Macaca mulatta: one gene and its partners. The main gene of each other region encodes a partner of the protein of the gene in region 3 in a complex. Links are inferred from orthologs where the notes say so. Each region holds a gene or a part of one and is shown on either strand. Other genes may lie near its edges. The genes, in order: DDX42, PRPF38A, SF3B3, SF3A2, HTATSF1, ZMAT2 and SF3B4.

Region 1 (4,339 bases), on a different chromosome or scaffold from region 3:
CACAGCAAAACCGTGCCTTTACAAAAAAATTATAAAAGTTAGCCAGGCATGGTGGCACACGCCTGTAGTCCTACCTGCTCAGGAGGCTGAGGCAAGAGGATTGCTTGAACCCAGGAGTTCCAGGTTACAGTGAGCTGACTGGACCACTGCACTCCAACCTGGGCAACACAGCAAGACACTGTCTCTAAAACATAAATAAAACGTGGTGGTTTCATAGGAAATCTTAACGGAATAGTAAAGTAGCACAGGCTGTGTGTAAACCATCTTTGCTACTAACTTGATATGAACCTCAGGGAAGTTATTTAGCTTCTCTGGGTTCAGTTTCCTCATCTATAAAATGGTGAGAGGCTGTGTATGGTGGCTCACGCCTGTAATCCCAGTACTTTGGGAGGCTGAGGCAGGTGGATTACTTGAGCCCAGGAGTCTGACACCAGCCTGAGCAACATAGCCAAACACCATCTTAAAAAAAAAAAAAAAAAAAAAAAAAGATGAGACTATCACCTATCTCAAGGGTTGGTGTGAAAAATTAAGTTCATACACAAAAATGTACTTGTTCAATACGTCAGCTGCCAACTTGTTTTTCATTATATTATTATTTCTGAAGACCCAATTTCTTCATCGGTAAATTGAGACTATCAGACTTCTTTCAACTCAGGTATTTCACACATAAGCGCCACAAAAACACTGAAGATGTCAGAGATCACTATGAGCTAACAGGCAGGGGTAAGCGTCATAAAAGAGCCAGAAGCCAGGCTAGGCACAGAAAGATGCAAGCTGGGTAGAGACATGCAGAGGATGACATTCTAGGGAGAAAGACTGAACTAGTGAAGGCTAGGAAGTGAGAATAAATGCGGAACACGCTTATAAAGGAAGACAATTTAGCTAGTTTGTGTTTTTGGCAATGGTGGAAAATAAGATATGATCTAAATGACTTTAAATATAGTGGACTAAAAACAACTGATTATATAAACCACATTATCACTTGCATTTCTGGAGGTGGAAGAAAGAGTTCTAGTGACAGTGATTAGCATCTACTCTACATAATACCTTGAGAGTATCTCACACACTATATAGAGGTCAGTTCTTTAATGAGAATCTATATAAAAACTCAAGAACGTAATCACATTCTTCTAAACTAAATATAAGTAAATGCTAGGTTTTGGTTATTTTAGAAGCATCCCTTCTCTTGTCAGCTTAAAGCAACTGGGAGCTGATTATATGACTATCAATGTAACAAAACAAATTTAAATTACTGCACTCCTCTCTTTTATTAAATTGCTACAATATAAATCAGATATTATCATTCCTCTGATCGAAACCCTCAGATCCTTCTTAAGTAATAGCCTAAAAGGCTCTGGTTGTTCCGCTCACTCCCTTCCCCCAATTCTTCCCAGACTATCTCCTAATACTCCCTCAGCTCACAGTGCTCCAAACGCATTGGTCTTCGCACTCTTAACGGGCCAGCTTTGTCCTTCTCAAGGCCTTTATATTTGTTACTCTCTAGCTTGGAACGTTCCTTTCCCCAGATAAACATAGGCTCACTCCTCCTTCCAGTCCGCTTAAACATAAGCTTGTCTGTAGGGACTTCCCTGACCACTTTATTGCAAATTCTAACAACACCTCCCCAACCCCCTTTCCAGCTTTCTTTTTCCTAAGGTACTGATCATCTTCTAACATTCAGTATAATTTATGTATTTCTTTGCCTCTCCTTGCGCTACTAGAAAGTTAAGTTTCACAAAGGCAGGGGTCTAACACCTATCCCTATCACCTAGAACGGCGCTAGAGAATAGGCACCAATAAAAATATCCCTTCAATGAATGAATTGTACATTAGGCATTGTGTAAATGCCTCTTCCAGGTACAGAAAGACACATTTTCTTTTCCCAGCTGTCAAAGTCTAAATGTTAATTTTTGTACAAAACACTCACTGCTCACCTCCTATACGCCAGAACTGAGCCAGGCTCTGCAAAGTGACTTAAGACATAGTCCCTGCCTTTTAGGAAGTCCTGGGTGTGTATATGAGGGAGGACAGACATAGAAACATCATTCACAAAAAGAATATACAGGAAATTGGATAACTGCCTATAGGAGTGTAGGCAACAGGGAAATTCTCAGTGATGAGAATATAATTCCCCAAAACTCTCGAGAGCTTCTCCTATGTTTTTGATGCATATGTTTGTAACTCCACATAAATTATTTATTCACATCAGATAGGCTTTCAAGTAGGCCGCAAAAAAGTTTGGGTGACAAAGTGATGCTAATAATCGACCTACTCAAGGCTGCACAAAGATCACCGCTTACATCTTTTCACTCCTCTCATTTGGCAGCTTTTGCCTATCAGGACCCCAAATTCGGAAGCCTGCATCTCCCAAGCGCTGCCTCCTTGGGCCAGAATTCTCCCCGCGCTATCCCTGCCTCGGAGCCGGGCACCCTGCAAATCCCTTTCCTAGGCGAGCGGGCGCCGCCTCCGGAAAGCCGCCAACTGGGCCTCGGTAAGACTTGCGAGGGAAGCGGGAGCTGTGGGAGGGCGACGCGGCTAGGAAGGAACCCTCGAGGCCTCTGCCCGCACTCCCACCCCTTCCCAGCACCCCGGCCGCGGGTGCCCCGAGGCTCTGCCGACTCTTTGTTAAGCAAGGCCGCGGTTCCTCCGCCCTCGCTAGGCCCAGCAGTTGCCTCCAGTGCCCCTAAGGACTAGCGGCCCTGCGTCCAAAACCCCCACGAACAAACCTGCTGCTATGGCTGCAGCCGCAGCTGCTACCACCGCCGGCACGGAGAGAATCCCGCGGCCCAAAGTACGCGCTGTCCCAGCCCGGTCCCGCCGCGCTCCTTCCTCTCCGCCCCCTTCGCCGCCGCCACCACCGCCACCGCCACCGCCACCGCCACCGCCTCACGGCCCGTTGCTGAAGGGGGGAGGGTAACAAAAACCCGACATGCGCAGTGAGGAGTGCGCGGGCCGAAGGGCGGGGCCGGGGCTACGACTCCCGGAAGGCGCCTGACCTAAAAGCTCCAGAACGCCTCCCAGGCTCCTCAGATACTCTGACAGGAAACTGCTAGTTGGGTGGACAGAGTTCATGACCCGTCTAGAAAGTGGGTCTGGGAATGAAGAAAAAGTGGCGTCAGGAGGCTGGTCAAAAAATCCCAAGAGAAAATGGGTTGGGCAGAAACCACATTTACATGAACATGCCTATCATTTAAACTCTGGTCCGTTGCAAATACTACTACAGCGACACTCTTGCCTTTGGCCACGTGGTTCCGCACAGCATCACTACCTTTAGCTTCCGGAGCACCGGTTCCGTGTGACGTCAACTTGACGGAACCCTACGGAGGAGGATTGGTATAGGCGAGAGCAGTTCCGGCCCAGGGGCGGGGATTATGTAATTTTCCCAGAAGCCCCACCTCGCCTCAGCTGGGCGGGGAAGAGGGAGGTCTTGCGCTGTCCCTAGTGTTGCGTCCCGCCCCGCACACTGCACACTGCACACTGCGCGCAGGCGCTGACGAGCCGCTCGCATTCTACGTAACGGACGGCGGAGGCTACGTGAAGAGAGGCGCGGCGTGCCTGAGCTACGGTTCTGGCTGTGTCCTAGAGGCATCCAGGGTAGTAAAACAGCTGCGATCGCGGAGGCTGCGGCCAGGCCGAGAGGCAGGCGGAGCAGGGGTGGCGGACGTAGGGCGCTGGGCCGGGTTTCGGCCTTGGCCACAGGTAAGGAGCGGGCCAGGACGCGCTTGTCGGCGGGGCCGGCCCAGGCCGAGCGGTGACTCCGAGTTGCTTGGCCTGTAGCCCGGTCCGGTTGAGATAATTGTAATGGTTTAGGGGAACTTTCCCATGGACTGTGAGCAAATGATAGCCAGAAGGGCAGAGTTAGAGGAAATGTACAGTGTGTGCCGCAGGATGCCATTAGGATGTATTGATTCTCTTGGGTGGGGAGAAACTAGGCGAGGGGGTTTAATAGAAGCAAAAACCTCTGTGGCCAGTCTCCTCTGGAGGTTTCTAGCATGAAACGTGTTTGTATCCAACACGTATAAGGAGACAGAGGAAAGTCTGCATGATTTCCAGAATACTCGTTCTGGCCGTTGTCAGAAAGACCTAATCTAAAATGACAACAAGGAATAATGGCCTCACTCAGTCCCCTTCCCTCAAGTCTGGACTCAGTCGCTGAGGAACTATTGGATGAGCTTGCAGAAAATAATCAAACCAGACTTGTCAGTGCTTGTGTGAATTTTCCTTGGTCCTGTGTTGCTTGCTTCAGGAGTCATAGAAGCTGGGTGGCCTGGCAAGAACTTGTGCGTTTGAGAACTGAGTTAACAGGTGCAGCAGAGACTTCTAAGGGGGAAGGCCAAGG
Region 2 (4,036 bases), on a different chromosome or scaffold from region 3:
GGAGTGCAGTGGCACAATCTCAACTCACTACAACCTCCACCTCCTGGGTTCAAGCATTCTCCTCCCTCAGCCTCCCGAGTAGGTGGGATTACAGGTGTGTGTCACCGCACCCAGCCTAATTTTGGTATCTTTAGTAGGGATGGGTTTTGCCATGTTGGCCAGGCTAGTCTCAAACTCCTGACCTCAAGTGATCCACCTGCCTTGGCCTCCCAAAGTGCTGGGATTACAGGTGTGAGCCACGCCTGGCCAGATACTGAATTTTAAAACAGAAAGTAGAAGATATATTTAATAACAATACAAGAACAAGTACACATAAACATGACTGCTGGTTTTGGAAAAAAATAAGTCATCTGGGTTCAAATTCTGACTCCATGATTTACTAATTCTGTGACACTACTGGTCAAATCTGTGTTTTCTCAATCCTTGTAAAATGGAGATAATGCTACTTAATTTATGGCTTGGTATATAAACAAGAAATGCATTTAAAGTCCTAAGTACAGCATAGAGCACACAGTAAGTGCCTAACAAAAGTTAGGTATTTTCTAGCTATTAATGCTTTATAAGAGTCGTCCCTCTTCCCTTTTTCCTGTATCCAACTACTTAAATTTCCTCTTGGGTAACTACGAGGCATTTGAAACTCACAGTTTCTTTGTATGAGAAGCAGAATACTGTACCAAAGAACATGAACTCTGAAGCCAGATTTGCCACTTACTAGCTGTTTGAACTTGGGCAAAATTACTTAATCTCTGTGCCTCAGTTTCCTCTCCTGTAGAATAGGGATTAAAAGTTTAGAAGGTTGTTGTGAAAGTGAAATGAATTAGTATACGCAAAGCCCTTAGAGCATGGCACATAAGAAGCTATTATGTCTGTCTCCTATACTTGTCTGTGATTTCCTTGAGAATGGGTAATACAGTAATGAGAAGCTGACATTTTCTAGGTGTTTACCGTGCAGCAAATGCTGTGTTCAGAGATCCGCATGCATTACCTTCTTTCACTCTTACATTATAGTCACCATTTTACAGATAAGCAAAGTTTAGAAAATTAAGTAACCCCTCCAATGTCAAGTTAATGGGCAACAGAATCTGGATGTGAACCCAGATCTAACACCTCTTAACCACTACCTTTTGTTGTTTGATTTTCACCCCTGAGCGTCCAGTGCCTACCAACATATCAGGCACTCACTTTTGCTTAATATATATTTAGTGAATTTGTGAAATCCTTTTTTGGGGAAAAACTACCACCAAAACTGAGAAAGTAAAGTAGAAGATTAATACAATCAGAACAGATAAAATACAAACTTGGCCGGGTGTGGTGGCTCATGCCTGTGTTCCTGGCGCTCTGGGAGGCCCAGAGGGGAGGGGATCACCTGAGGTCTGGAGTTCAAGACCAGCCTGGCCAACATGGTGAAACCCCATCTCTACTAAAAATACAAAATCTAGCCAGGCGTGGTGGCACATGCCTGTAATCCCAGCTACTCGGGAGACTGGGGCAGGAGAATCACTTGAACCCAGGAAATGGAGGTTGCAGTGAGCCGAGACTGCACCACTGCACTCCAGCCTGGGCAACACAGACAGACTCTGTTTCCAAAACGAAAAACAAACAAACAAAATACAAACTCAAGGACTCAAAAGCAAAAATCTGGAGTGGAACTCTGTAGAAATGAGATACATTGTGTACACCACTCTTAACCAAAGCCCAATGCTGAACCGCCAAAATTAAACCTCTTATATTAGCTAGTGAACATTGCACTCACTTGAAATCTTCATTTTTGATAAACTCTACAATGATATCCTTCTCGGGTTGAATCTGAAGCATCTTCAAGGTTAAACACAGAAAGGGTGTTGGTTTTATGTTGCCACCATAGACGCCACCCACAAACCTTAACTCCATGGCTTTATCGACTACAAGTTCAGCTAAAAAACAAAAAGAATAGAGTGACATATTAGGGCTAAGCTCTTCCTAGTTGAAAGTGGAGAGTTAGTTCAAGCTTTGGTTCTCCTAAATACACATCAACAGTGTAATATTAGGAGAACGAATGTGTATTAGTAACAGTAACGACAGCAGCTAATATACATTGAGAATGGATAATAAAATAGGTACCCTGCTAAACTTTTCATATTATCTCACTTGACCTTTTTTAACAAGTCATGAAGAAAGTTCTAGCAATGTTCTTATTTCCAGATAAGGAAAATGAGGGCTAAGAAAGGTAAAGTGACTTGTTCAAGGTTCACAGATTGCCACAGGACATGGATTTAAAGCCAGAATTCAAATCGGAAGATTACCTGGAAGACTTCTCTGAAGCACTGACATTTATAAATACTGGAACTGGCCCAGATCTAAGGATAGTAAGATCATGAATTTGGTTTCAGGCATATTAACGTCAGGTCCTTAAAGACCTTCAATAGATTGTGTCAAAGTGTTATATTCGGACCCCTGAGCTTAACACTGTTGCAACCCAGCCAGCTATCATTAAATATGGGATAACTCACAGAACCCAACTGAGACACCCTTCAGAACATGACCTTATCAGATTCATCTGTGTTCCCAATAGTCGACACAAGACGAGGCACTTAGTATGCACTCAAATTTTTCTGAATGATCGACATACTCCGCTCAAAACCCCACCCCCAGAGGCCAGTCGCTAGTCCCACCGGAGCTCGGTCAGGAGAAATTGGCCACAAGGCTGCCGAGAGGGGCTCTGCGTGCTTTCGCTCACCCGTAAGTCCGAAGCACTCCTCTTTCCAGTACTTGGACTCATAGATTCGCGTTCGAATGATCTTCTCCACCAGATATTGAGGGTTGGTGCCGTGGATACTGTGCGCATCCTTCACTGTACGGTTAGCCATTTTAGAATGCCTTCAATTCTATTTCCGTCGGATCCTTTAATGCGTCACATCCAGGTTCAGAAAAAAACACCTAGGGGAATGGAGAGCGGTAGAAGTTGTTTCACTAAAAGGCTTAGGCCACCATCTTGAAACCGGAAACACCTCAGCGCAAAGACCTTCCGCGCACCGCGGCGCCGATCGAATCAATGATGGCGGCTGCATGTTAGCGGATTTACGTCAGGCGCCCCTCTTAGGTGTACGTAGTGGGCGGGGCGAGCTAGTTGGTGACGCAGCGAAGGGATGGCCTGGGGGCGGGGCCCCGCCGATTGGCGCGAAGTTTTCTTTGCTCCTTCCACCTTCCTTCCATTTCCAGCGAGACACACGCTTTCGTCCTGGCGTGCGGCCCGTAGCTGTAGGAGGAGCCCTGCTGGTACAGGTTAGAGGTGCTGCATCCCCCGGAGCTCTCGAAGCGGAGGCGGTAGGAAACGGAGGGCTTGCGGCTAGCCGGAGGAAGCTTTGGAGCCCGGTGAGTGTGGCGTCCCGCGGGTTGCGAGGGACTCGGGGGAAGGCGCAGCGGAACATCTGAAACTGAGGACGTTCTCTGTAGACTCACTCATTGATTCTTTCAGCTGACATGTACCCAGCGCCTGTTCAGTGCCAGGCACTGTTCTGAACTGTTAAAGAGCGTTCCTCTGTTCCACACTGCAATTCCTAAAAGCGCTGCAGGGAACTGAGTTGCAGTGGGGAAGGCGGAAGCCAACAGCCGAGAAGCAGGAGCACTCCTGCCCTCCATACCCTGAGGCTCAGTGATGACTTTCCCTCCATCTGCACTTGTGAAGCACTCGACTTACTTCGTTCTTTGAGCTATAGTGTAGGAATCACTACAGGGAAGGCGGAGCAGAGATTATTACCCCATTTTACGGACGTAGCAAATTGCGCCCAGAGAGGGACGTGTCTTAGGTCGCTTTTCGTGACTAAGCAGTCTGGGCTCCTACCCAGATCTTTTTTTCAGATGAGCTCCTAACTGCTGGACTGCCATTCACCTTGTTTTCAGAAGAGAAGTCTGCTGGCTCTCTTCTTCTCTTGTCTAATCCCGGAACTGAAGGGTCTTCTGCCGTGACAGTTGGAAGCAGCATTCTTACCCTGGTCTATTTGTGAAACTGCAATGATTAGATACGATGCTAGTTGTCTGTAACGCATGAATAATAGTA
Region 3 (3,607 bases):
GCTAGTGGAAAATGACATTTTTTTTTTTTTTTGGAGACGGGATCTCACTGTCGCTCAAGCTGGAGGGCTGTGGCAGGCGTAATCACGGCTCACTATAGCCTGGACTTCCTGGGCTCAGGTGATCCTCCCACCTCAGCCTCCCGAGTAGCTGGGACTACAGGCATGTGCCATCACGCCCAACTAATTATCTGTATTTTCTGTAGAAACTGAGTTTCACCACATTGTCCAGGCTGGTCTCACTCTTGGGCTCAAGTGATCTGCTCGACTCAGACTCCCAAAATGCTGGGATTACAAGCGTGAGCCACTGCACCCAGCCTAGTGACATCTCAGTTGTAAAGGAGAGGCAAATTTTATACGCAAAAGGGTCTATGAAGTATTTCTTAGAGGATACTCCCCTTATGGTAGGGTTGAAGGAATCCACATGCTGTCAGTGTGGAGGAGAATATTATTTTTATTTTAATAATTATGGTAAAACAGACATAACATAAAGTTTACCATCTTAATCCTTTTTTTTTTGAGACAGAGTCTCACTCTGTCGCCCAGGCTGGAGTGCAGTGGCACAATCTCAGCACAGTACAACCTCTGCCTCCCAGGTTCAAGCAATTCTCCTGCCTTAACCTCTGGAGTAGCTGGGGTTACAGGCGCCCACCACCATGCCTGGCTGATTTTTTATTTTTAATAGAGATGGGATTTCACCACATTGACCAGACTGGTCTTGAACCCCTGACCTCAGGTGATCCGCCCACCTCGGCCTTCCAAAGTGCTGGGATTACAGGAATGAGTCACCATGCCCAGTCATTTTTAAGTATACACTTCAGTGGCATTAAGCACATTTACTGTTGTGTAACTATCATCTCCAGCTTTTTTTTCATCTTCCCAAACTGAAACTCTGTACCCATTAAACAGTAACTTCCCAGAGAAGGCAGATGGAAAAGAACACTAAATCTTTTTTTTTTTCTTTTTGACAGTCTCACTGTGCCAACCAGGCTAGAGTGCAATGGTACAATCTCAGCTCACTGCAACCTCCGCCTCCCGGGTTCAAGTGATTCTCCTGCCTCAGCCTCCCAAGTAGATGGGATAACAGGTACATGCCACCATGCCTGGCTGATTTTTATATTTTTAGTAGAGACGGGCTTTCATCATGTTGGTCGGGCTGGTCCCAAAGTGCTGGGATTACAGGTGTGAGCCACCGCACACAGCCAGAATATTAATTATTTAAACTGCTGAATTTTGGTCACAAATTGTTGCCCACTTATTAAAACAGTAAGAAAGGGACTGATTCAATGTGCATCCATCTCCCCATTATGGGTGGTTAGCACAAAGCCTTACTGTGGAATGCACAGGCACAAGAGCATCACCGCAGCTAGAAGGCCCCAGGATTTTCCATGTGCTGGTAAGAGACGGATTGGAATCAAGGAGCTGGTCCCCAAAAGACCTGACCCATAACATAAGCAAAAGTAAGAGAATTCAATAGGACTTAAGATCTAGGAGAACCACTCACTGGCTGATTCCTACCTTGTGCAAAAACTCCAGTTTTTCCCCATTGTTCACAAGCTTGTAAGTATAGACGAAGCCCCCTGCCACAGATCGGGGGTTCAGTATCAGGTCCTTGGCCACACCCACCAGCACATACCAGTCTTCACCAGTGTTGGAGAACCTGCACACAGCCACACTACACACAGAGTAAGAGGCAAGAGTAAGGCCTTCGTCAAAACCCAGAGAGCTCCTGTTCCAGGCTACCAAACCCTGAACTGTCCTGGGCTCCTTACCTAAAAGCTGCCTCATTCTGTTCCAGCTGGACAAGGTCCAGTGTGTTCCCCTGAATGGGATTCATCACTCGGATCACAGAGGCCCACTGCCCATTGCCAGCCTTGGGAGCTCCAAAGATAGATTCAGGGAGGTTTTCATTGAGGAATGCTGCTGCCATCTCTGCGGCCAGCTCCCGCTCATCCTCCCCTGCTGCTTCCACCATTTCCTAAACCCAAAAAACCAAACAACTGAGTTGGCATGTTCAGAGGTAGGGGCTGGCTGAGAAGAGGATAGGTAGCAAGAACACTCCAAGGGGTTTTTTCTTTTTTTTTTTTTTTGAGAAGGAGTCTCGCTCTGTTGCCCAGGCTGGAGTGCAGTGGCCGGATCTCAGCTCACTGCAAGCTCCGCCTCCCGGGTTCACGCCATTCTCCTGCCTCAGCCTCCCGTGTAGCTGGGACTACAGGTGCCCGCCACCTCACCCAGATAGGTTTTTTTTTGTATTTTTTAGTAGAGATGGGTTTTCACCCGTGTTAGCCAGGATGGTCTCGATCTCTTGACCTCGTGATCCGCCCATCTCGGCCTCCCAAAGTGCTGGGATTACAGGCTTGAGCCACCGCGCCCGGCCAGAAACTCCATTTTTTAATCCAACCCATCTGATTTCCCCTACTAAGACTACTCTGTCTCCACTCTTTAAGGCTGGATACAGTTCTATGTGGTTTAGCTATTTGGTTTTTGCTAGGCAATGAGTTCTAGAAAGAGCTGGTATTGTGGAGAACATGAAAGCTGTCTCCTTTGGGCCCAAATCCAGGAAATACAGTCTATTTTGGAAGCTCAAAGACTGGAGAATTCTGTTTCAGAGAGGGAACTTAATTGTGAATAAATGGAGGTCAGAGTATAGTCCTGGGTTACAAGAAAGGCTCTAACATGAAGTATTTTGGGGCAAAGGCCTCTGCTTAAAGAAGCTGAAAAGAGCCTAGATCTTTAAAAAACAAAGAATATAACAACAATTACAGGAGTTTAAACTTTTGACAGAGTCTCATGTCCAGAGTGCCACTGGTATGCAGTGGAGTGTGCCAACATACCAGGAGTGCACCAACACACCAGGCTATCTTTCAAAATTTTTAATAGAGGTGCGGTTTTGCTATGTTGCCCAGGCCGGTCTCAAACTAGCAATCCTCCCATCTCAGCCTCCAAAAGTGCTGAGCAGTTTAAACTTTTCAACATAATTTCACAAATCTTTTAACAGAACCCCTGAACGTTAGTCTCATTACCTCTGCCATCTGCTGCTTTCTCTGAGCTTTTGTGGCCTCAGTGTAGGCATTGTGGTCCGTTTCAATGATAATAAGGTTGTTACTCTCAGGGTGGATGACAAATTTCCTGGGTGTGTACTGCAGTGGGAAGGCTACTTGATTGAAGACAGCACCGAGCTTCTCTAATGCCAAAATGCTATGACAGAAAAGCAAGGCAGTTACTTAATACTCACTCAGGACCTAGAAATTGGTGGTGAAATAGGCTTTGAGCAGTCAGTAAACACATCAATCCCTGAAGCTCTAACGCTGGCATTAGGCAACATTAAACAACAGCCTCCTAATCTAGAAAACTGCACTGCAGACAGAGAGATCCGGGAAGGGCCTTCCCATTTGGCAACACCCTACCACAATTCATGGCAATTCTAGTTCTCACCAATGAAACACAAACGATTGTCAAGATTTTTTTTTAATCACTCTAATGATAATAAAGCGCCCAATCCCAAATTTGTTGTGAACACTGCAATTACCTGAACATATATGGTATCTGTAGTGACTGTGCTTCATAAAATGAAGTGGATGCCTTTGTGAATAAAAATCACCTCAGTTTT
Region 4 (4,321 bases), on a different chromosome or scaffold from region 3:
CCTCCCGAGTAGCTGGGACTACAGGCGTCCGCCACCTCGCCCGGCTAGTTTTTGTATTTTTTAGTAGAGACGGGGTTTCACCGTGTTAGCCAGGATGGTCTCGATCTCCTGACCTTGTGATCCGCCCGTCTCGGCCTCCCAAAGTGCTGGGATCACAGGCTTGAGCCACCGCGCCCGGCCAAATATGGATTTTCAATCTAGATTTTTATACCCCACCAAACTTCTAACTATGAGGGTAAATAAACTCATTTTCAGGCAATCAAAGACTTCCCCCATCCCCGAAAAAAATCATCTATTTCTTCCAAAGCTCCCAGAAGTTCTGCTCTGACATCAGGAAGAGGAAAAGATGGCCACACTGGGAACAGAGGTCAGCACAGGGCAGCAAGGACAGGAAGGTTTGGGACACCAGCTCCACCCAGGCAGAGCACAATCAGTCCCATTCGGAGAAGGAGGATACGGGGGTCTTGGAGGGCAGTGGGGAGGTGGAGATCAATTCATTTAAACCTGTGCAAAACACAACTGATAGGTGTGAGATGCTGGAGCTTTGTGGGGAAATAAACAAACAGTAGGGAAAAGAAAGGCTAATGGTAAAAACAAAGTTAATTAGCTTTAAGGGAAAATAGAAAGCTACAACAAAAGCCCAGTTGAACACATTACTTGTTTTAGCAGCCAACTAAATATATATACATATACATGTGTATATGTGTGTGTGTGTATATATATATACACATATATACATTTTTTTTTTTTTTTTTTTTGAGACGGAGTCTCGCTCTGTCGCCCAGGCTGGAGTGCAGTGGCGCGATCTCGGCTCACTGCAAGCTCCGCCTCCCGGGTTCACGCCATTCTCCTGCCTCAGCCTCCCGAGTAGCTGGGACTACAGGCGCCCACAACTGCGCCCAGCTAATTTTTTGTATTTTTAGTAGAGACGGGGTTTCACCGTGGTCTCGATCTCCTGACCTTGTGATCCGCCCGCCTCGGCCTCCCAAAGTGCTGGGATTACAGGCGTGAGCCACCGCGCCCAGCCATATACATATATTTTTTTGAGATGGAATCTCGCTGTGTCTCCCAAGCTGGAGTGCAGTGGCGTGATCTCAGCTCACTGCAAGCTCCGCCTCCCGGGTTCACGCCATTCTCCTGCCTCAGCCTCCCGAGTAGCTGGGACTACAGGTGCCCGCCACCACACCTGGCTGAATTTTTGTATTTTTAGTAGAGACGGGGTTTCACCATGTTAGCCAGGGTGGTCTCAATCTCCTGACCTCGTGATCCACCTGCCTTGGCCTCCCAAAGTGCTGGGATTATAGGCGTGAGCCACTGCGCCCGGCCCTGAGCAGCCAACAACATTTTGCATCTTATTTAAAAAATACAACCAATGACCAACTGTGCTCACGACAGAAACTCATTCAGGATATGGAAGGCGAAGGTGCAGTAGGTGGATAGGAGGGAGAAAATCTCAACAGCCGTGACAGGAAATCAGCAGATGATGTCTACAAATTGATAAATCCAGGAAGAAGTATGTTATTTACTAAGGTAAAGATCAGGGAACAGAGTGGAAAAACCCTATCTCTACAAAAAAATAGAAAAAAGAGCCGGGTGTAGTGGCTAATGCCTGTAATCCTACCACTTTGGGAGGCTGTGGGGGGGTGGGGGGGGTGGATCACCTGAGGTCAAGAGTTCGAGACCAGCCTGGGCAACATGGCCAAACTCCGTCTCTACAAAAAATACAAAAATTAGCCGGGCATGGTGGTGAGCACCTGTGGTCCCAGCGACTTGGGAGGTTGAGGCAGGAGGACGGCTTGAGCATGGGAGTTCGAGGCTGCAGTAAGCTGTGATGGCACCACTGCACTCACTCCAGCCTGGGTGACAGAGCAAGACACTGTCTCAAAACATACAAACAGAGAGACAAAAAACCGACGACGACGACCAGGGGAAATGAGCTTAAGAATTGAGGAAAGGTGGCCTCCGAGACCTGGGGCTGGACCAGCGGGAAGGAATTAGTTTTTGGTGGCAACACCGTTCTCTCGTTAAACCCAGCAAACAACCTCTTTTCCAAAGCTCCCCCTGGCTGTTTGGTGTTCTCCAAGGATACACACGAACAACGGTCACAGCCATGTGCACCTGCAAAATGGGGCCAGCTAACGTTTTCTGGTCCCCTTTGGCATGGTGTTGAAGCTGTCACTCCCGTTTTAAGGGGAATGAGGCTTACAAGAGTTATATCACAGAGCCCCAGTGAACTCACAGGTATAGATTAGCATGCAGAAGCGTTCTCGGCTACAAGGAAGGAGGCCCAAACCATTTCAGCCGCGATCCCGATCTGATCCCAAAGAGTCTTAGTTGTTTCTTTTTCATTTTGTGAAACAGGGTCTTGCTCTGTTGCCCAGGCTGGAGTGCAATTGCGATCATGGCTCACTGCAGCCTCGACATTCCGGGATCAAGCGATCCTCTCGAGTAGCTGGGGCTACAGGTACAACAACCAACTCCTGGCTAATTTTAAAAATTTTTTTGTAGAGATGGGGTCTCGCTGTGTTGTCCAGCCTGGTCTCGAACTCCTGGCCTCAAGCGATCCTCCCGCCAAGCCCTCCCTGAGCGGTGAGATTACAGGCGTGAGCCCCCGCGCGCGGCCTCCCAACAGGAGTTTGGAAATAGAGTTCCGAGCGGGCCCGACCCTCCGGGCCCGCCCAGCGCGGGATCTACAGGATGCACAAGGCCGGACGCTCACGGGAGGAGGGAGGGGAGCGACGCCGCCGCCCGCCCCTCGGCCTGCGGCCTGTCGCAAGCTCCTCTCTCCTACGTCCGCTCTTCCCCAGGGAACCCCCGGTCCGAGTCGGCCGCCACCCTCAACCGGCTCCACTCCTCACCAGAGCCTGAGGCCGCGTTATCTCCTCGATCCGCCACCGCCACGACTTCGTTCGGCGCACGCGCGTCGCGGTCAAAGAAAGCACTTCCGGGGCAAATGGGGCGGGCCCTCTGGTGTGCGCATGCCCGGCCCGCCCAGCGGCGCAAGTCAGAGAGTCAGGAGGCGCGAGGGAAAGGGCTGGAGGGGGCGGGGCTGAACGCCCGGCCTGGAAGGCAAACCGCGCGTGCGCACAACGCCCCCAACGAACCCTTGGTCCGCTGCGGCCGCGCTGGGCTAACTTTCGCGAGGGGCGGCTGACATTCTTCGGGAGACGTTATCGCTCCCTCCGCCTGCGCCTGGCCGCTCTAGGAAGGGGTGCCAGCCATCGCGGGGGTGCCTTGATGCTGTTCCACCTTTGTCTGGTTTATTTCAATTTAATGGTTATGTAACGACTGTCCGTCTCCGCTACCAACTCGTGCACCGTCCCCCCCCGCCCCCCCCGCCCCAGGTCGCCAGCGCCACGCACTGGAGACTGGCGGCATGGCCGGCCCAAAGTGCGCAGGCGCACTAGCCCCGGCGGTGCTTCCGTGTCTGCGCCCTGAGACCTTTTTGGCGCCGGCCCCGGCGTGAACGGGGACGGCGGCCGGGAGGGCGCGGTCCAGGTTCCCGTTCCCCGCGAAGCCATGCGGTACAACGAGAAGGAGCTGCAGGCGCTGTCCCGGCAGCCGGCCGAGATGGCGGCCGAGCTGGGCATGAGGGGCCCCAAGAAGGGCAGCGGTGAGCGGGACCCGGGAGACCGGGACAGTGCCAGGGGCGGGAGGCTGGGGCCGCGGTCCGGGCGCGGGTGCCGGAGGCCGGATTCCGGGTCGGGGCGCCGGGTGCGGGAGGCCGGGGTCCGGGCGGGGGCTGCCTGCGCCTCTGAGCGCGCGCTGTGCCCGCAGTGCTGAAGCGGCGGCTGGTGAAGCTGGTGGTGAATTTCCTCTTCTACTTCCGGACAGACGAGGCCGAGGTAGGGGCGTCGAGGGCGCGCGGGCGGATCCCAGGCTGGGGCCCCGCGGAGGCCGGGTGCTCACCGCTCCGTCCCGGCGCCCGTGTCTCCTCCAGCCCGTCGGAGCCCTGCTTCTGGAGCGGTGCAGAGTCATCCGGGAAGAGCCCGGCGCCTTCTCCATCAGTGAGTGGGGCTAGGGAAGCCAGCGGCGCCTCCCGCAGCCCGGGGCACCAGCAACGCTGCAACTGTCCCCTCCCCAGGCGCTCAAGGCCTCCTCTGTGTCCCCAGCCTGGCGCCACCCTCCCCAGACATAAGAATGCATTGTCCACGGGCAGCTCAAGGTCAGGTTCTCCTGGCGGGCACCATCCCGCCCACCTGCCAAGTCCACTTAAGCTTGGGTTCCTTCCAGATTCTGCTCTTTCTTCCCTGTGGGCCCAGGCTGTACTCACAGAGAGGCTGGGCCAGCCCCACCCAAAGCGTTTCCCAACTGCCACAAC
Region 5 (4,214 bases), on a different chromosome or scaffold from region 3:
TCATATTATGGAATCTTGACAAAGCAGCAGTTTCTTGAAACTTCCAGGACCTTTCTCTTACTCTTAAAAGACCAAGATAAACTAACTCAAATCACTACCCAGCTTTCAAAGGATTTAAATCTTTGGACAAATAATTAGTTTTAGAGCCCTATCTGGGAAAAATGATGGCCAGTTTATCTTGATTCTTTATAACTCTGACACTACCTTTAAGAAAAAACTCACCTTATTCCTTCAAAGCTATTATAATTCTCGGAAAAGCAACTGTACATATGCACACCCATATTTTTAATTTTTACACTTAAAATTTGTAAGCCAGAACCACTTACCTGACTCAGCCTTTCTTTTTTCTCCCTTCTTTCTGGGATCAGTGGGTTCTGAGGCTTTTTCTTGTGGAGGTTCCTCTGCAGTTCTAGCATGGACATCTTCAACATTTGCGGTAGAACTAGATGCGCCATCATTAGAGAAGCCATAATTGGCCTGATATGTAGCAATGAAATCTTCAGTGATCTAAACAAGCAATTCAGCAGACCCAGACAGAGAAATTCAAAATTATTTCCACCCATAAGAAGTTTAAATTGTTTTTACAGCATGGTTACACAACTTAAAACAGAAGTGTTTCTGTGGATAATAGTTGTAGTTATTAGAGTATAAATGCAATAGTCATCTTATACAGAAAATTGTGCATGCGGTGATAAAAAATAAGACACGAGTACTTAGACGATCAATGCAAATGTCTGAGATATGATTTAAAGCATTTTAAGTGATGCTGGCACCTTTTCTAGTTGTTTCATTTATAAATTACTACCTCTCTACAGTCTACTTAACTAAGGCTACAAATACATACAACAAAGGAAGTACCAGATAATAAAACAATAAAAACCAACAGTCAATGAATAATCTAACCACAGAATCCACTTTTCTCTTACTGTACACATGCACAAATATACGTGTACAATAAGTACTTAAATATCTGTATGCAGAGAGCACGTAGAACAGAACTCTGACTTGGTATATAAAGAATGGAGTTAACAACTGTAAAACTAAATGCTCATTTTAACTTTATCACAAATTAAGACGTTATCTTTTAGTAACAGAACAAATTAAAGACAAATCCAACTCATATCTATCTTCCTCCCCTTTGGGGGAAAAGCGTTATTGCAAAACTAAAGAAATATAGTTATACCATCATACCAATCAACATTAGGCACGCATGGAATGGGGAAAATGTAAAACCCAAAGTTTGAAGAGGTATGGGCTTCAATAACATAAAAAGATAAAGTCACACATTAATCCATTATCACACCTTTGTTAAAAGTATTCAGAATGCTGAAGAAACCAAATCTGCACTCAAAACTAGTACTACCAATACAGAAGTGAAATCGTAAATTTTAACAATCTGGAGGCATTGGAATATGTATACAAATACAGAATGGGAAAGAAAAGTTGCAAAAGAATTTTTAAAACAGCCGTCCAGTCGCGCAATGGAGACAGGTTTTGTATTATTGGCTTGCAAGTCAATTTGCGTGCTACTAGTGTGCCCTTTCCTGCTCATGAGAGCCAGATTAAAAGGGCACTTTTACCACAAAGTTTACAGAACCAAGTTTAACATTACTTATTTTACTTCGAAGCTGAAATAAAAATACTTAGCAATTTCCAAGTACTCCAAACAAATATACACAGATATTTTCCATCTGTATTCTGTGCGTCTCCAGTCTTATTCCTGTGGTTATATGGTTCAAACATATATGCTTAGGGACAAAATTTGCTAGGAAAGTAAAGCAAGGTGCAAAGAAAGTTCAATTAGTAAAGATATGTAAACAGCTACTTTAAAAAAACCAAGAAACTGCATTTTGCACATAGTACATAAGCTAAACATCTGAGTTCCTAGGACAAGTGGGGTCGGCTACCAGAAATGGACAGCTACTAAATTTGCTCTTGGTGTTTTTCCTCTTCGCAATAAAAAGCAGTCATCAATGTAATTACCAACTGTGACCTTCACAGACAAGATTAATAAAGCATAGAAAAAACTTAAAAATTACATTTAAGACACCACCCTAAAGATTTACGTTCCTTCACACATCGGTGCCCCGACAAACACAACAAAAAGAAGCGCCGCTATCCAAGGGGGCTAGGACCAAGGACCAAGGATCTCAGCAAAGCAAACGTAAGAGGAGTGCTCCGCGAGGCTGGCCAGGCGACCCGCTCTGCAGTGGCGCCCGTGGCACTCTCCTACCTTGGGGAACCAAGCCTTCTTGTCCAGGTCCCACTCGTAGGGGGTGTCCGTCGGCTGCTGCCCGAGAGAATCGGTTTCTCCGCCGGCATCGGTCTGGGTGTCACCATCCTTGCCGTCTCCGTACAATTCTTGCATTCGCAACTGCTCATCAAACTCATCGTTCCCATCCAAGTTGCTGCCGCTCATGTTTCCTACTCAGCTCAGGAGAAGGGTTCAGAAGAACTAAGAGGCCGAAATGACGCTGGAGCTGAGCAGAAAAAGGGAGGTCAATCGCGCTCTGCTCGCGCCCCGCCGCCCCCCGGCCCGCCTCCCCGCGGCGCCCCAGCAGTCCCCGGGAAATCGGGGCCGCTCGGCTGCCGCACCGCCCCCTGCTCTGCCCGCCCACCGCGCGCGCGCGCTGATGCTGGGAGCTCGGCCGCGCCGCCGCCCACCTGGCTTGCTCCGCTGGGCCTCGGCACCGCCGCTAGGTCCAGGGCGCTGCGGGAGCGCGCAGGCGCGCCGCCGCCGCCGCCGCCGCCGCCGACCGGGTCTAAGGCGACTGCGGCTCCCTCGGCAACGTCAGGATATTACTTGTAAACTAAGCCCTGCTCAGGCCGACGCAGCCGCCATTGTCGGCGCGTCGCGACGTCGCGGGTCGCGCCGACACGCCCACTGTGGCGTCAAAAGGCGCCGACGCCGGCACGCGGCGCGAGACCCGGGGAGGCGGGGCGCCGGAGAGGGGGGAGCGCTACTGCCGGGCGTCGACGCCCACCGGGTTCGGCCTTGGGGCGGGGCGAGGGCCACTGGGATCCCCTGACGCCTCAAGGGCCTTGAGGTCCGCGGGGTTCCCGGCGAATCGGCCGGCCCGGGAGGGAGACGGAAGGAAGGCGTGGGAATATTCCCTCGCGGAGGTGGCCGGGCGGGTGTCGCGAGGACGCCATCTTGGGGGAGTGGGTGGGGCGGGCAGGACAAATATCTCTGGCTTCGAGAAAACGACGCGCCTCCTTCGCCCAAAGGCCCCTCCCCCGCGCAGGAACCGTGTCTTTTACTTGTTTCTTTCCGACTCCCTGGGATGGACACCGGATATTGTTCTTCTTGGTGACCTAAGCTCCTGGCACCGGCTCTGGTGTCTAATGCGGAATGAGCGAATGAATGAACGAATGAGGGGTAAAAGGGCCAACTTTTTTTTTTTCTGGTGTCAGCCTTCTCCTTTATCGGTCTCATACCTTCCTCTGGCTGGAGTTTGACTCCATGGGAAGGATGGGAGGGGCTGCAGTTGCCTGCCTCTTGTACTGCAGGATTCAGTGGCGCTCGAGCTGCGAACTTGAAACTTAGACATAAATGTAAACATCCCAGTGTAAACACCAGCTTTACTGGCCGGCAAACTCCGCTTCTTTGTCATTGTTTTAGAAAGACACAGCATACTTTTGTTCTAAACAGAACTTTGTTTTCAGGAATTACACTCATTGCTGAAAATGTAAAGGTCCATATTTTTAAGTTGGGCAGGTATTTATCCAGCCCCTACTAAGTGCAGGGTTCTGCACGAGGCTCTGGCGACCCAGGAGTCGACAAGACAGGCACAGCTCAGGGGAGACAGAATTAGGATGGTTGGCAAATGACAGATACGAGATGCTGGAGGACAGCAGTTCTCAAACTTTTTGGTCCCAGGTCCTCTTTACACGAAAACATTGAAGACCCCAAAAAACGTTTGTGGATTATACTTACCAATATTTCTGCACAAAAATTAAAGCGGCCGTTAAAAAATATTAATTCATTTAAAATAATAAGGAACTCATTAGTGTAACCATAAATATCACAACCCAGGCTTGAGGGTGGGGAAAACCTTCCCAGAAGAAATTATTTCACTATTCCAGTGACCTTCACTTCTAAACATAGCAGTTGAGTACTACTTCTAGAAAATCCTGGCTCCCCACGTACCAGCTGTGTGAATCTATGGTTTCAACGATAACAATAGTTTTTAATAGTTTGGGTTAGTTTTTCT
Region 6 (2,373 bases), on a different chromosome or scaffold from region 3:
TTTTTTTAACTACAAGAGGAATTAACTAAATGTACCTAGTCCTAAGGAGGCCCATGAAATCAGGCTGACTGGGTCAGAATTCTGTTTCTTCCACTTACTGGCTGTGAATCTTGGGCAAGTTATATAACCTCTTTGTGCCTCAGTATCCCCATATTAGAGATCTTAGTATAATATGCATGAAGTACTCAGAGCAATTTCTGGCATGTACTGCATGCCCCAGAATGTCAGTTGCTATTATATGGTTTTGCTGTCATAACCCTGTCAGGAACTAGAAATGACATGGGGCCAGACGCAGTGGCTCACGCGTGTAATCCCAACACTTTGGGAGGCCAAGGTGGATGGATCACTTGAGACCAGGAGTTCAAGACCAGCCCCAGCAACATGGTGGGACCCTGTCTCTACAAATACAAAAATTAGCTGGGTGCAGTGGCACACGCCTATAGTCCCAGCTACTTGGGAGGCTGAGGTGGGAGGATTGCTTGAACCCAGGAGGTGGAGGTTGCGATGAGCCGAGATTGTGCCACTGCACTCCAGCCTAGGCGACAGAACAAGACTCTCTCAAAAAAAAAAAAAAAAAATGAACTAGAGTGCAGGCTTGAGAACTTCTCTCTAGAGGCTAAAACTTCTTTTTGTTATCCTTTATAATTTTTACTCTGGCTTTTACTCTGTCCTTGAGATTTTACTTGTCTTAAGTACTTTCTCCTAAAGATAGAAAGGAGTCTTGAAACTCATGTCTTTTTCAGTAACATTTGGCTGAGGAGTCTAAACTGATTCTGAGTGATTTTTCCCTCCAGGAAGAAAAGGCCAAAGCATACAAGAAAGAGAAACAGAAGGAGAAGAAAAGGAGGGCTGAGGAGGACTTGACATTTGAGGAGGACGATGAGATGGCAGCTGTGATGGGCTTCTCTGGCTTTGGTTCCACCAAGAAGAGTTACTGAGGCTTTCTATGCTTGGCCTAACTTGGGCCTATGCTGGACCTAACTTTGTGTGTGTGTGTGTGTAGTCGGGGGTCATTTCTTTTTGGGTGATGGGAAAGTTCTTAAGAGTGTCAATGGGGAGGGATAGAGGGTGGGGCTCATGGTTTCCCTCTACTTTGGGAGAGGGCACAGATTGCAGAGGTAATGCTGTGGCATATTGCTTCAGCCTCAGTATATCGCTGGAGTCATAGGACCCCTGCCCACCTGAGTTTCCAATAAAGAAAAACCTCCCCTTCTGAGGCTGCTTTCCCAAAACTCCCCCTGCATCTTTATCTCTCCATCTATCCAGCCTCTTGTCTGAGCATCCCAACTTTATCCTGTGTTATGCCTTTGTTTTAATTTTATCTCATGTTCAGCCTGCAACAGAAGCATTCTCTAGGTCCCAGTTTCCAGTTGATTGCATATCCTTGACCAGCCCTTTTTCCCATCCCGCCCTATGGTTCTCTAGCTACCTGTGCATGCATGTGTATTTCTGCCTGGTTCTATGGTGTGTGGATGTGTGTGCATGAATCTGTCACATAGAGGGGGCCTGAGCTGGAATCCTAGAGCATTGCTGCCCTGGGGCCTGATGTTCTTGGCTTCCTCAGAGCATGTAACAGGAAATTAAATGGGATGAGTGTTTGGTGTGGTTTGTGTCTGATGAGTTTTTTAACATTCAGGTGTAGATTGTTTCAGGTTCTCTTGTTTCATTTTCCTGAGGATTTCTGTTTTTGTCTTCCTTGTGAGCAGGCTTTTGGAAGAACCTGTTTGATGCAAAGAAGAAAATGAAAAACAAAACAAAACAAAAAATCCCCAAAACCTTATTATGGGAGCCCTTGGGTCTTAGAAGCTGTTCAACATGTATAATAAATGGCATTGACTGGGCCTGTTTTACATTTGGTGGGAACATTCCATAATTTTGCCTGTGAATATTTGTTTTTCCTTCTCATGCTGAGGATTTCCATAGAGTGTTTTATTCTTCCATTTTAAATCTTATTTTTGCCTAGGATTTTTTTTTTTTTTTTTTTAGCATGAGTTATGTTTTCCTCTGGTAAGGGATCTGTGTCCAGAGGAGCCTGAACCAAAACTATTCCTATCATTTCAGACTCCTTTGATCTTTTGTTTTTGGAACAGTAGAGCTCAGGATTGAACTTAGTGTTTTTCTTTTTCTTTTTCTTTTTTTTTTTTTTTTTTTGAGAGAGTCTTGCTCTATCGCCCAGTCTGGAGTGCAGTGGCGCGGTCTTGGCTCACTGCAACCTCCGCCTCTTGGCTTCAAGCGGCTAATTTTGTATTTTTAGTTGAGATGGGGTTTCACCATGTTGGCTAGGCTGGTCTAGAACTCCTTGCTCAGGTGATCCACCTGCCTCAGCCTCCCAAAGTGCTGGGATTATAGGCGTGAGCCATTGCACCCTGCCCT
Region 7 (4,323 bases), on a different chromosome or scaffold from region 3:
TAAAAGGGAGCAACAGAGTCATTTTGAGCAAGTGTGTGCACATCTGTGTTTTAAAAAACCTACTCTGTGAAAGTAGATCGAAGTTAGGGAAAACTGGAGTCCAAGTGGAAGGAGATTACTACAATAAATTAAGTGTTAAATAATGAGGGAATGAGAGACTGAACTAGGGCACTGGCCATGGGGAGAGATGCCACTGATATTAAATAAGACTTGGTATTAAGAGTGGGGTGATAGGGAGCAGTCAAACATCACTCTCAGATTCATGAATTAAGCACCTGAAAAAAAAGACTGCTAGAGAAAGAATGGGTTTGAAGGAGAGGGACAGAAAAATGACGCTATCTATTAAGCAGCAGCATTAAAGCATTAAGGATCCGGAATGTCAACAGCTATGGACTAGAGATACAGATCTAGGAGGCATCAGTATATGCTCAATTAAAACTATAGATATATGCAGAAAAGAGAAACAAGCACAAAAATCTAGGCACAAGTAGACAAGAGTCTATCATGGTAGCTGAGATTAAGGAGTCAGAGGGGTGGAGGATCTAGAAAAGCAAAAGCAAAAAGAGACGAGAATTTCAAACAGGAGGACACGACTAGTTTCAAGTACATCAGAGGTCAAACTAGATAAGGAGGAGAAGTGTCCCTGAGATTTGGCAATTAGGTCACCACTTTGAGCTGGAGTCAGAGAAGAGAATGGAACTAAAGGTTAAAGAAATAAAAACCAGCAAGTATAGTCTTCTTGTCAGAAAAACTTAAGAAATGGATACAGGGAGGTGGATGTTAGAGAGTATTTTGTATGTTTTTATAATAGAATGTCTGAAGGAAAGGAAACTCTGAAACTGTTACTGTTGAGGAACAAAGGGCAGCAGGGTGAGAGGTAACAGAGATGCTCTACCAAGCTCTTCCCTCCCAACAAAGCACACCTACCTGGATGGGGCATCCCACCTGGTGGGAATGGGTGAGGATGTGAGTGTCCATGACCAGGATGTCCTGCCCCTGGGGTTCCTGCCGATGGGGGGCCATGTCCTGCAGCTCCAGGAGGCATAGGTGGTGGGGGCATGGCTGGGGGTATCCCAGGTGGGAGGGCTCCAGGAGGTGGCACTGGGGGTGGGAAGGAGCCAGGAGGAGGCATGCCTATAGAGGAAATGGAAAAAGGAAAAGTTAATGGTAGTGAGGAGAAAATGTCTTTAAAGAGCCTGTCCTGATCTGGCCTCTCTGGGCAGGGTGAGCTCTTTCCCCCTCCTCCCAGTGCTCTAAAATCAAAAGCAATGTTAGAAAAGTCAACCAACTTCACCCTCCTAAAGAAACCCAACAACTTTCTTCTCCACCACTACCATCACCCCTCAGTCCTCTTCCCATCACTCACTGACTCCATGTCCCATCCCCCTTTCAGGCTCTTTTTTTCTTCCTCCTGACTCTCTCCCCCAACCTTAAGACAAACAAATTTTAACCAAAAGCTTTACCTGGTGGAGGAAGCCCAGACCCCAATGATGATACCACAGGATTGGGGGCAGAGGGTGGAGGAGGTGCATCTGCAAACAGCTGATGAGGGCGGTCAGCCTGGGAGAGCGGGTTCTGAGCTGCCAGAAGTCGTTCGGCTGCTGAGCCATGGCGCTCACCCTTGGAGTCCTTCTTGAAGGCATAAGATACGGTGATAGGGCGGTTACAGAGGTACTGCCCATTCATGGCTTCAATTGCTGCATCCGAAGCATCAAATGAAGCAAAATTAATAAAGGCATAACCTTTGGAGTTGCCTGTGTCAGGGTCCCGCATAATCTTGGGGGTTTGTAAGATGACCCCAAAAGCGCTGAAAGTATCATAAAGCAACTTCTCATCAATCTCAGGGTCCAGGTTCCCAATGAAAATGTTGGCCCCTACATCCAGGTTTTTGTTGTGGGCTGATGCTTTGTTCACCCGTATTGGCTTCCCATAGAGTTTGATCATGTTCATGATCTTAATGGCATAGTCAGCATCTTCCTCACTCAAGAATTCCACAAAGCCATAGCCTGGAGAAGTGGAGAAGAGGAGGTTAACAACATAAGAGATTGAAAATGGGGTAAAACTCATCTACCCTCTAATCACAAAGAACAAGAAAGAAACAATCTCACTTAAGAATGGTTCCAGAAATAAACTGAACAGAGGCTTAAAAGAAAGAAATACTTTAGGTTGCTCATGTTATTCCAAAACAGTTGTGAATACTGCCGGGACCCTCCGGAAGCAAATTGCCCCTTGTCATGTACTCACCTTGGTGCTGGCCAGTGACTCTATCCTTTGGCATGTGGGTGTTGACTACTGGTCCAGCCTGGAGAAACAGTTCCCACAGCAGTGGTTCACTAACCTTCTCATCCAGGCCCCCCACGTACACAGTGGCATCTGAAGGGAGGGAGCAGAAAGTTAGAGCAAGGGTGAGAGTATAACATGAAAGAAGGAGGTGATGGAAACATGAAGATGGAACCCAACCGGGGGAACTGGGGACGCGGGTAGGGGACAGGAGCAAAAAAAAAAAGTTAAACCCTTAAACTTCTCTCTCCAGGACTTCAGGAATCCTCTGAAGTCTAATTTAGTATTCTGAGTGGATTTTTTTGTTTTTTTGAGTGAGAACTCAGCAGGGGATTGGACGTAAGTATCACACCCACAGGCCTCAGCCAGCACCTGGCCACCCCGCCCCCAGGAGGCACGGGGCCGGTCTCGCGCCCTCTGGGGAATGGATGAGTCCAGTCTCCCACCCCTGCAGAGGCACTTCTGGCTGTAGTAGGGGCCTCCTAGCCACGCTGAGCCCATTCCAGACTTTCCCCCTCCAGTTACCCTGGTTCCGCTCGGAGATCGGCCCGGCAGCCATGGCGAAAGAGCTCCCGCCGTCTCCCAGCAGCGGTTCCGCCTTCTGACCTCAGCACGACTTCCACTTCCGGGGCGAAGGAGGACGTAGCGCTGGGCGGAGCCGCGGAAGAGGAGGGGCCTGGAAGCGGCTGCAGCCATTTTAGGAGCCTCCAAGACTTAACTCGGGTTGGGCGGTGGAGTCCTCGGCACCCGCGCAGAGGTGCTGCTGCTAGTGGTCTTAGCGAGGAGGGCGGAACGGAAACGCTCAGACCGTCTTAATGCACTGCTAGACTTGAAAGAATCACACTGCTCCCAAAAATGTAAATTCGAAAGCTAAAAGAACAAAAACTTCAGTTTTCATGTATTTTGTAGCCAGTGATGATGTTTTGTTGTCCAGAGAAGGATGTGCTGAAGAGTCCCCCCAACCCGAGGACTTGGCTGCTTTCAGGCGCAGAGGGAACCCTCCATCTCGCCTGCAACCTTCTTGCAGATTTGGCCTCAACAGCCCTGATTTGGGCTGGAGGTATTTGGTTTTCCCTCGGGGAGGAGACTGCGAAATGTCTGAGCTGGAGTGACGTCTGCGCTCATCTCGTCGTAATTGCATGGGGAGGGTGAGGGCTGCTCCAAGGTGGTGTGTGACCACAGGTGAGGGGTGGATAGGATCGGAGCTCAGAGACTTCAGTCTGGATCTCTAGAACAATCTGGCCCCATCTGCCTCTAAATGGGAGACACACACAGAATCCTTTCCCCAAACTGCACTTGAATTCTGCAGAGTCTCACCAAATCCAGTTCCCCTATTTCCTTAGCAATAATACAGTAGATGCCTTCCTCTCTTGGATCATACCCACCTTTTACCCACCACTTTCCTACCTAGGAGAATCCTTTATTCAAACACAAGAAACAATGCCAGTAATGTGTATAAATACTATGCTTTAATGAGCCCCTTAAATAGAAAATTCCGCTACAAAAATACAGAGGAGACAGGGTGTTTCCTGTATCCGCCTCATTCCCATAGAAAACTATAAGGGAAGAAATAGAAGTTGGAATTAAAGCAGCAGCAAGGCGAGGTGAGAATGCGATCTGTAGGCCATCTTGTTGGGACTGATGAACAGCATCTCTGATCTCACGATTTAACATCTGGTTATCCAGAAGGGATGGAACTGGTCTAAAAAAACCGATCAATTTCTGGATTGTTTTTGTTTCTTAATCCTTCAAATGACAAGAAACAAAAATATCCGTAGGAACTAAGCAAGACAGGACAAGAGTTGGAGCAGTTAACACCACCATCTGCAGCAGAAACTCAGACCTTCTTAGTGAACTTAAGGGCTGGAGTGTGAAAGCTGAGGCTGCAAGTCCAGAAACAAAAAAAAAAAAAAAAAAAGGATTAGACAGAACCGTCCTCTACCCCAGATCCCCCTCTGCCCTGCCTTTGAGAATGCCCACAATTTCAGTGGGATTGAGAATGGTATGTGGATCTCTTTTCTTGGAGTGAACTTCAGGAGATAT

The links.
Region 1: the proteins of SF3B3 (region 3) and DDX42 are in contact, whole or in part, in a cryo-EM structure (PDB 7EVN), measured with the Homo sapiens proteins. The link is inferred for Macaca mulatta from reciprocal best matches to the Homo sapiens genes SF3B3 and DDX42. Residues at the interface, in NP_036558.3 of Homo sapiens: Glu159, Ala160, His161, Tyr211, His219, Val220, Val221, Arg222, Lys223; in NP_031398.2 of Homo sapiens: Lys145, Gly146, Ile147, Arg148, Asp149, Asp150.
Region 2: SF3B3 (region 3) and PRPF38A share a complex: the UniProt entries of both Homo sapiens proteins name them as parts of the spliceosome B complex. The link is inferred for Macaca mulatta from reciprocal best matches to the Homo sapiens genes SF3B3 and PRPF38A.
Region 4: SF3B3 (region 3) and SF3A2 share a complex: the UniProt entries of both Homo sapiens proteins name them as parts of the 17S U2 SnRNP complex. The link is inferred for Macaca mulatta from reciprocal best matches to the Homo sapiens genes SF3B3 and SF3A2.
Region 5: SF3B3 (region 3) and HTATSF1 share a complex: the UniProt entries of both Homo sapiens proteins name them as parts of the 17S U2 SnRNP complex. The link is inferred for Macaca mulatta from reciprocal best matches to the Homo sapiens genes SF3B3 and HTATSF1.
Region 6: SF3B3 (region 3) and ZMAT2 share a complex: the UniProt entries of both Homo sapiens proteins name them as parts of the spliceosome B complex. The link is inferred for Macaca mulatta from reciprocal best matches to the Homo sapiens genes SF3B3 and ZMAT2.
Region 7: SF3B3 (region 3) and SF3B4 share a complex: the UniProt entries of both Homo sapiens proteins name them as parts of the SF3B subcomplex of the 17S U2 SnRNP complex. The link is inferred for Macaca mulatta from reciprocal best matches to the Homo sapiens genes SF3B3 and SF3B4.

The regions. Positions count from the first base shown.
Region 1 is NC_133421.1:73,566,595-73,570,933, reverse strand, and holds the start of DDX42 (ATP-dependent RNA helicase DDX42), read right to left. Parts: upstream 2,809-4,339; 5' UTR 2,727-2,808; intron 2,006-2,726; exon of another isoform or gene 1,935-2,005; intron 185-1,934; exon of another isoform or gene 75-184; intron 1-74. UniProt on the Homo sapiens protein: ATP-dependent RNA helicase that binds to partially double-stranded RNAs (dsRNAs) in order to unwind RNA secondary structures. Unwinding is promoted in the presence of single-strand binding proteins.
Region 2 is NC_133406.1:188,247,225-188,251,260, forward strand, and holds the start of PRPF38A (pre-mRNA-splicing factor 38A), read right to left. Parts: upstream 2,859-4,036; 5' UTR 2,847-2,858; coding exon 2,717-2,846; intron 2,337-2,716; exon of another isoform or gene 2,311-2,336; coding exon of another isoform or gene 2,283-2,310; intron 1,914-2,282; coding exon 1,754-1,913; intron 1-1,753. UniProt on the Homo sapiens protein: Involved in pre-mRNA splicing as a component of the spliceosome.
Region 3 is NC_133425.1:69,283,232-69,286,838, forward strand, and holds part of SF3B3 (splicing factor 3B subunit 3), read right to left. Parts: intron 3,196-3,607; coding exon 3,021-3,195; intron 1,976-3,020; coding exon 1,770-1,975; intron 1,673-1,769; coding exon 1,516-1,672; intron 1-1,515. UniProt on the Homo sapiens protein: Component of the 17S U2 SnRNP complex of the spliceosome, a large ribonucleoprotein complex that removes introns from transcribed pre-mRNAs.
Region 4 is NC_133424.1:2,982,623-2,986,943, reverse strand, and holds the start of SF3A2 (splicing factor 3A subunit 2), read right to left. Parts: upstream 2,908-4,321; 5' UTR 2,240-2,907; exon of another isoform or gene 992-2,239; intron 144-991; exon of another isoform or gene 1-143. Other genes in the region: PLEKHJ1 (pleckstrin homology domain-containing family J member 1), read left to right, coding at 3,520-3,613, 3,778-3,845, 3,941-4,007. UniProt on the Homo sapiens protein: Component of the 17S U2 SnRNP complex of the spliceosome, a large ribonucleoprotein complex that removes introns from transcribed pre-mRNAs.
Region 5 is NC_133426.1:142,822,082-142,826,295, reverse strand, and holds the start of HTATSF1 (17S U2 SnRNP complex component HTATSF1), read right to left. Parts: upstream 2,865-4,214; 5' UTR 2,665-2,864; intron 2,481-2,664; 5' UTR 2,420-2,480; coding exon 2,234-2,419; intron 508-2,233; coding exon 327-507; intron 1-326. UniProt on the Homo sapiens protein: Component of the 17S U2 SnRNP complex of the spliceosome, a large ribonucleoprotein complex that removes introns from transcribed pre-mRNAs.
Region 6 is NC_133411.1:149,549,291-149,551,663, forward strand, and holds the end of ZMAT2 (zinc finger matrin-type protein 2), read left to right. Parts: intron 1-794; coding exon 795-938; 3' UTR 939-1,841; downstream 1,842-2,373. UniProt on the Homo sapiens protein: Involved in pre-mRNA splicing as a component of the spliceosome.
Region 7 is NC_133406.1:117,227,136-117,231,458, reverse strand, and holds the start of SF3B4 (splicing factor 3B subunit 4), read right to left. Parts: upstream 2,892-4,323; 5' UTR 2,840-2,891; coding exon 2,806-2,839; intron 2,374-2,805; coding exon 2,245-2,373; intron 2,007-2,244; coding exon 1,464-2,006; intron 1,135-1,463; coding exon 928-1,134; intron 1-927. Other genes in the region: MTMR11 (myotubularin-related protein 11), read right to left, coding at 4,219-4,323. UniProt on the Homo sapiens protein: Component of the 17S U2 SnRNP complex of the spliceosome, a large ribonucleoprotein complex that removes introns from transcribed pre-mRNAs.